Coturnix japonica: one gene and its partner. The protein of the gene in region 1 binds, or shares a complex with, the protein of each later gene. Links are inferred from orthologs where the notes say so. Each region holds a gene or a part of one and is shown on either strand. Other genes may lie near its edges.

Region 1 (3,811 bases):
GGGGCGCGGCGGGGGCGGGGCGCGGGGGGGCGGTTGGAGCGAGTCCCCTTTGTGTCTGGAGCCAGGCGCGGCCGCTGGTGGTGGTGGCGGCGGGCGGGAGGGGGCGCGAGTGGCGGCGGATCGTGGGACTGTGCGGCCCTCGGAGGGCACGGGGAGGAGGAGCCGCGGGACCGCCCACTGCCGGCGCAGCCCGGAGACGGGGAAGGCGCTGGCGGCGCGGAGGGACCGAGCCGATCCCCGCCCCGCGGGCACAGCTGCGCCCGGCCCCGCTCGGAGCTCAGAGAGGTTGGCCGGGCTGGCGCCGGAGCGGCTCGCGGAGCGCTGAGGAGGACGAAGAGGAGAAGGAAGCGGCGTTCTACAGCGCGGGGCGAGAAGCTCCGCGGAACGCGGCCGGGCGCCGGGGCCGCCGAGGAGGGGCCTCGCTCCCGCCGCCCCGCGCCCCACCTCCGTCGGGGCGGCCGGGGGTGGCGTCGCCGCGAGGGCCGGGCCGCGGAGCCGGCTGGCGGCGTGCGGATGGGCCGGGGGGCGGCCGTAGCCCCCACGCAGACGGCGCGACAGGGCTCGCCTCGCCGCGGAGCGTCCGCGGGCGCGTGAAGGCGGCGGGGCCGGCTCTGCCCCCAGCCCGGCCCTCGGAGCCGGGCGGCGCGAGGGGCCGCCGTGAGTGACAGCCGCCGCCTCCCGTCTGGATATGTTTCCTTCCCAACCCGGCTGCTTCTTCGATATCGTGAAGCTGCGTGGGAAATAAGCGCGTTCCCGAGGCGGGCCGCGGTCCCGACGCCTTTCCCGGAGCGGGGCGGCAGCGGCCGGCGTCCTCCCCGGAGCCGCGGAGCCATGCGGGCGGGCCGCCGCGACGGACTATCAGCACAGCCGGCGCCCCTCACCTGCCGTCCGCCTTCGCAGACCGCGGCGTGAGCCCGGAGCGCGCCGCGGCCGCCGGAGAAGCGAGGAAATCCCTCTCGTCGGTGTCTTTATTTCCCACCCGGCCTCGACCCCCGCACCCCAGGATGACGGCCTCGCTGCGGCACCTCGTGCTGCTGCTCCTGCTCGCCGCCGCCCCTCGTTCCGGCGCTGCGGCCGGTAAGTCCAAGTACCGGGCACGGCGGGGCGCGGTCCGGCCGCGGCTCCGTGCGGGTTGAGGGCCGAGCGTCGGGGCGGCCGGCGGCGTGAATGAATGTGCTTTATTGTGTAAATGAGCCATCCGCAGTCACGGTGCGTGTGTCGTGCGGCTCCGCTTCTCTCGGCTTCTCGCTTGGGTATTTTTCCCAAATTGAAATAATCTTTTCGTTTTGCATGCCGCGCCCTCGGGAAGGTAATGCGGGCGTTTTTAATATATATTTTAATCGCCGGCAGAGCTGTGCCGGTTGTAGTGTGGGATCTCTGGGCACAGCCATTTTTAATTTTATCGGCATCCGCGCTCTTAGGGCCTGAAGCGTGTGCTGCAGCCCTGTGACAGACCCATCGGAAGGTACGTTTGTTTCCCAGGGCTGATCTGAAGCAAACGGGCTGCTCCTATTGTCGCTCGGTGTTGTAGGCCAGCAGCACAAAGCGCTGATGAGGAACGCTGGAAGGTCTTGAAGAGAACTCGTTTTAAACAAGGACGTGGAAGCTTAGATCCTAAGGCTGTCTTTAGCCATATTTTGGGGCTCTTGGACCTACTTTTAACTTTGCTTGGAAGCTTCACGTTTGATACCTGAGATGTTTGATCCCGATTTTGGAGGAGAGGTGCATTGGTCTCCCACTTTTGGCTCTGTCCTGGTGACAGCTGAGCACGTTGGAGCTCCTCAATGCGACTGCCATCAGTAGGCACCAATATCAGTGCCCACCAAACCATCACTGTATTTCCCAACAGTTCTGAGAGACCCCTACAACTTTCCTGTCATTTACTAATCAGAATCCAATTTTGCAGGGCTGGGTTCTTGTGGTGTTGTTTCAGTGGCTGTGTGTTGTTCACAAATGAATCCTTCCTTGTAAGAAAATCATGGTGTGTAGCCAGTTGGTTCATTGCTCTAACTGGACAGCCCCAGATTTCTTTGCTTCCTCTTCTTTAGAAATCTCTTTCAGGAGGATATTGGCATGAAACAACTGATCTTACCAGTATCATCCCTACCTGTGGCTGTTCTGTTTTAGATTGATCTCTGTCGTGTCTGTGTTGGTTACCTGGGAGTGATTTTTCTTCAGGAAGAAGGGACTTCTGAAGGTCAAAACTCTTGGTATTTAAAGCATGCAGGAATCAAGAGTGCCCACTACCTAACCTTTCCAATGTAACACTAATGATTAAAAGGAGGACAGGATTTTTTCCTCCTTGAGATGAACGCTTGGGCAGGTTGCTCGTTGCTTTGCCATGGTGAGGAAGAAGGGCGGTGAAAGAGCGAGCACAGCTGTGAGGCAGGCCCAGGGCTGGGCAGGTTGCTGTGTGAGCCCGTCCGCACGGTTCTGCCAGTTCACCTCCGTCCTGACCTGGCAACAGTGTTTTTACATTTCAGTTCTGGTCTTGCCTCGTTACAAGAGTATTAATGATGCAGGCTCGTTTGGCTGTTTGTGAATAGGGACCCATTTTCCCATTGTGATTTATTCCTTAATTATGAAATTTGAACAATCCACATTATACAAACTTTGGTCTTAACCCTCTGTAAGAGTAATTACACAAATGATTTGAGCTTTACTTAAAGTAACTAATGGTTGATTTTAGGTTGGCACTGCATTTCAGAGGGAAAAAAAAAAACAGTCTATACAGGGGAAGCTACACTAATGTGTAATTCTGCCCTTTTATGTTCATGAAAGAGCCAACATTATTTCTTCTCTTCCCCTCCCCCCAAAGTATGAACTGCATGCTCACATCAGTGATAGTACTGGTTCTGGCCTGGAAACCCTTTGTTAATTGGTGCTTCCGACTGTCCATGGGTGCTGTGTCTCTGCAGTACTTGGAACTGAGTGTTTATAAATGCAAAATCATGACATCAGAAGGAAAGTATTTTTGTGATAGGTTTGTAGCTTTCTGCCTTGAGAATATGGAGATCTCTGTTGGGGGAGCTCAGTAAAGACCTGAGCTTAGTGTGGTAGTCCTTCCTTCACTCTGCTAGATGAGTATATAATGAAGAATTAGATTCAGGTGGGGTTCTTTGCCTCTTTTTCCCCATTGGACTTTATTAGGATAAAAACGCTGCTGGCTTTCTCTGTAAAATCCACATCCTAACAAGTACTTGGTAGCTTTGTATTTAGGTGTTGTATTTTTCACTGCTGCCATTCTCTTAGACAGGGGAGTGCATTTTACCTCCACCAGTTTTAGGTAAAGGATTGAGGCATTTTAAAGGATGTGGAGGAAAAAAAAAAAAAGATTTGTGCCACTTTGTTCTTCATTGATCAAGTTACTTGAAATGTCTCTTTCTAAATCTTGTTTAGAGCTGAGACATATTTATGCACCCTTATATTAAGGAGGATCTGGATGCACTAATTGTGCCTGAGAGGTGGCTGGTGAACCTTTGAACTGTTCCACAATAGTGCTGAAGAATTTCATTTGGGTGTTCGTATGAAGTAGATATTAATCTTGCCTTATGTGGTTCATTTGCTTGCCTTATGTGATACACAATACTAAACCACGATTCCTTCTTTCTACATATCCACAGCAGACAACATTCCTTTGTCTAATGTGTAAATGACTTGTGGAAAACATGAAGTAAGAATTAAAACGAGCAGAATGTCTTTTTATCTTTGTGGGTCTTGCGCTTCTGTATGTGTGGATCAACAGGGCTGCAAGATTTTCAGAGTGAAAAGAACTGCATAGGGATTGAAGGAGTGTTTTTTTTTCTTTCCC
Region 2 (3,903 bases), about 11 Mb from region 1:
GGGCGGCGCCCACCTGTCTCGGCGAAGCTGATGATCTCGGAGACGGGGTCGTGGGCCGGAGGCCCGGCGCTCGCCTGCCCGTCCAGGCTGGGGATCTCGACGCGGCCGTCCTCCCGCACCTTGCCGGCGTGCAGCTTGCGCAGCGCCGTGACCATGGCCGCCTTGGGCACGGCGTGCGTGATGTTCGGCCGGTCCCGCATCTGCAGCCGGCTCAGGATGTGCCTCTTCACCGCCTCCAGGAAATCCCCGTCCACCTTGCCCGGCTCCTCGGGCCGCCGGAAGCCGCAGGAGGTGCATGTGTCCTGCGGGGAGCCCCCGGCGGGAGCCGGCGGGGTCGGGGTGGCGGCGGCTCCCAGCAGCAGCAGCCCGCAGGCCAGCAGCGCGGCCAGCACCCCCCGGCGAGCCGCCCCGTCCATGGCGGAGGAGCGGGGGGCCGAGCTGGGGCCGGCCCGGAGCGCCGCAGGGAGCCCGTCTGCAGGCAGCGCCGCTCCGAGCGCTCCGCGGCGCGGAGGGGGCGGCGGCAGCCAAGCCGGGGGCCGCAACCGCTCCGCGCGGGGAGGGAGGGAGGGGGGCCCGGGGAAGCGGCGTGTGCCGCCGGGGAGGCGGAGGGGGGGAGGCCGCCCGCGCAGGCAACCGAAGTTGGGGAGGGAGGGAGAGAAAAGGGGGGGAGGGGGGGGCGGCGGGGCTGAGCGCACCGAGCGCCCGGCTCCGCGGGGGAGGGGGACGGCAGCAGGTGAGGGGGTGGCCGCGCAGCCCGGGGAAGGAGGGAGGGGGAGCGGGGCCGGAGGTGCGAGGGGAGCCGGGGAGCTGGGGGAGGCGGCGCCGCGCTGCCCCGGGGCCCCGCGGCGCTTCAGAGGGGCATCCCCGGGCGCCGCCGCTCGTGGTCCATCGCTCGCTTCGGCAGGGTCCGGGCGGGCCGCGGAGAGAGCTCTTTAGTCCGGCGTCATTGAGGGGGGTCAGGGAGATAACCGAAGCAGATTTATATACAATCCAATTTATAGCCTGGAAGGAGGAGGGGGGGTGGGGGGGAGAGATGCCACTTGTACCCCCCCGCCCACTCCGCCCCCGCAAGACAACAATCCACAGGCCGTGGGTGCGGGTCTCTGTGCCGCTCCGCTCGCTCCGCTCGCTCCTTCCTTCAGCGCCCGCCGCTTCCCGACGCGCCGCCAAAGTTGACGCGGAGCACCGCCGGGGCGGGGGCCGCGGGCGGCGGGTGAGCGGCCGACGGCTCCACGGTGCCGAGGCGTCTCCCCGCGACGGCGGGATCGGGAGATCCGCTCGGAGGCTCCGGAGGATGCGGCGGCGGCGGCGGCGATCCCCGCTCGGTTCCGCAGCGCTGCGCGGGGACTCAGCGCGGTGCCGGCGGTCCCGGGAGTGCTGCGCGGATCCACTCGGTCAGCCCGGCGCTGCGGCTCGCTGCCTCGCTCGCTCTTTTTAAACAATATCTCCTTTGTTGGTGGTTTGGGTTTTTATTATTATTATTATTATTATTATAAGTATGATTTTTTGTTGTTGTTGTTGTTGTTGCCGCCGCCGCTGCTCCAGTTAATCTGTCTCTCCCTCTCTCCCTCCTTCTCTCTCTCTCTCTCCGCGTCTGTTTGATCTCCGCTCACCGTGCGCCGGCTCCAACGCCGCGTTTTGTTTTGGTTTGGTTGGGGCTTTTTTTTAACGCGTCTGATGTTCCCTCGCGGCTCCGCAGTGGAAGGGCTCGGGGAAGCGGCTCGCTCCTCGCTCATCGGCCGCGCGTCTCCTCCTGCTCATTTCCCCCCCACCCTGCAAAATCACGACATTGTGGCACTTTCTACTGAAACTTTTATACAGGAGTTAAAACCACGTGGGAACTCCAACCTATAACAGAGCCGCCGTGGGTTCCTCACTATTTGGGAGATTAAGTTAAGTCTTTTGCCCCCCCGGGCTATTACAGTAACTTCCTTATGCGGAGCTATTAACTGCGCTGTTCCTTTAACTCCCCCCGTCCCTCCCGGTTCCCGCACACACCCACCGCACCGCATCGCGCCGCACGGGTCGACCCCGGCCGGGAGCTGGGTGCTCCCCCACCCCCCTTCCCCGGGTTGTTCCTTTGCCTTTTAAGCACTTGAAAGGAGAAGGCATTAGAAAGTTTACCGTCGGGTTGCTTTTGCGACGGGGCGGGTGTGAGCGTGCGTTTGGCTCGGCGGGGCGGGGGCTCGCTTCGCCGCGGGGCAGCGCGGTGCGGGGAGGGGAAGGGGACATAACGGGACCCCGATCTCTGCGACCGGGTTTCCCTTTGCGGGTAAGCCTCGAGGGCGAGGTAAAGGCTCCGCTTCCCATCCGGCAGCCTCGCAGCCAAGCCCGAGGGCGGGCGGGCCCCCAGCGGCCGGGGTGAGCCGGCCAGGTGCACGCAGCCTCCGCCCCGCCGAGCTGCGGGCGCACCCCGGGGCCGCGCGGTCCCGCACCGCCGCGGGCATGGCCGGGCCGACGGCGCCCCCGCGGGGCCGCGCTGGGAAGCGGCGGGGAGGGGGGCAGCGGGGAGCTGGGGTGATGGGGGGCAGTGCGGAGCCATCGTCCCCGCCGTGGAGCCCAGCATTACAGAGGGCAGCAGCGCGTTTTCAAGGAGACGCCGCTGTTTTTAGAAGGAAAATAAAACTTGGGCCGTGTGTGTGTGTGTGTGTGTGTGCGCTGCGCGGGCTGCTGTCAGCTGTCACTAATAGAAGCCACCCGGGGCATAAAGAGGGTCAGTGAGGGATCAGCTAAAGACAGACGTGCTATCCCCGTACCACCGCCGAGCTTTTCTCTGTCTCTGTATAGACACAAGTGCACCATCGCGTCGCGGTCCCGCTCTGATCACAGCGATTAATGTCAGGGCAGTGTAACGCACCTTACACCGCGGTAAGGGGCTCAGAATTAGCGGCTGCGTTTCGTGCCTCCTGCTAACAGGTTGTGAATGGAAAGCCCGGAATGTAAAAAAAGAAATAATGCTAAAAATCCAATCACTCGGACATCCTGTAAGCTAATAAGAGCACGTGAAGGCGGCAGGCTTAGTGCTTCACAGTAATTAATTTGACAGCAAAGAGCTAACAAGAAAACAACAGCAGAGCAGCAGTGAGTGGTGCATAGAGGTCACTGTCACACCAAAGCTGAGGGTAAACATGGCCATTTTGGTCCATCCCTGCTGCCTGCTGCTTTGCCTTTTTTCCTCCTCTTTCAACAAACTATGGGCATTTTGCTTATTGAGACTTTGGGAAGATGCATCTTCTCCAGCAGCTGCCAACAAACGAATGCACTGATTAACCTTTCCTTATTGACAGTGCATCCAGGGCTTGCTCTGAGGCTCCCTCCCAGAGCAATGAAGGCATCAGGGTTGGTTCTGTGCTTCACTCGGAGATCACAGCTCAGTGATGGAGCCGTAGCGCTCTGTTCTTTTTCAGCCCTCCTCAGCTCTCAGTTCTCTCCCCTGGGCACAGACCTGTTGCTGGCACGCCGCAGCTGAAGGAGCAGCATGGAGGTGGTAGCTTTGCACCCCCCGCCTCCCCCCCATCCTCTGTTTGCTCTGAGCTCATCTGCGTGAGGCTCTGTGTTCACACACACCTCTCTAACCGGCTGCTCACCATCTGACTCAGGGTCATGCATCTCCATACATTAAATGGAGGGGAAACAAGGAAAGGAAGGGCCAGGATGTGTGCTGGGTGGGCAGCACCACTCAGCCAGGATGCTGCTGTTTGAGGTGCAGCACTGAGGGCGCTTCCTGCAGAGATGTCCAAATCTCCTGGCTGAAGTCTGATGCTCATTAAAGCTGCTGGTGTAATGACATGGGGATGCATGCCCTGTCTCATCCTGTGCAAAGCAGTGCGCTCCAATGCACCACACTGCTCCAGTTCTCCCCTTTGCTGTCTTCCCAGGGCAGACTGTGCAAATGCTGCTCTG

Evidence for each region.
Region 2: the proteins of BMPR2 (region 1) and INHBB are in contact, whole or in part, in a crystal structure (PDB 7U5O), measured with the Homo sapiens proteins. The link is inferred for Coturnix japonica from reciprocal best matches to the Homo sapiens genes BMPR2 and INHBB. Residues at the interface, in NP_001195.2 of Homo sapiens: Tyr40, Tyr67, Leu69, Val80, Lys81, Trp85, Ser86, His87, Ile88, Gly89, Asp90, Gln92, Ile108, Gln109, Tyr113, Phe115; in NP_002184.2 of Homo sapiens: Phe309, Asn318, Asp319, Ile322, Ala323, Pro324, Gly326, Tyr327, Tyr328, Thr379, Met380, Ser381, Met382, Leu383, Phe385, Asp386, Asn390, Ile391, Val392, Lys393, Asp395, Ile400.

The regions. Positions count from the first base shown.
Region 1 is NC_029522.1:10,293,186-10,296,996, forward strand, and holds the start of BMPR2 (bone morphogenetic protein receptor type-2), read left to right. Parts: upstream 1-746; 5' UTR 747-1,004; coding exon 1,005-1,077; intron 1,078-3,811. UniProt on the Homo sapiens protein: On ligand binding, forms a receptor complex consisting of two type II and two type I transmembrane serine/threonine kinases.
Region 2 is NC_029522.1:21,362,765-21,366,667, forward strand, and holds the start of INHBB (inhibin beta B chain), read right to left. Parts: upstream 2,351-3,903; 5' UTR 2,125-2,350; intron 2,009-2,124; exon of another isoform or gene 1,774-2,008; 5' UTR 417-1,773; coding exon 14-416; intron 1-13. UniProt on the Homo sapiens protein: Inhibins and activins inhibit and activate, respectively, the secretion of follitropin by the pituitary gland.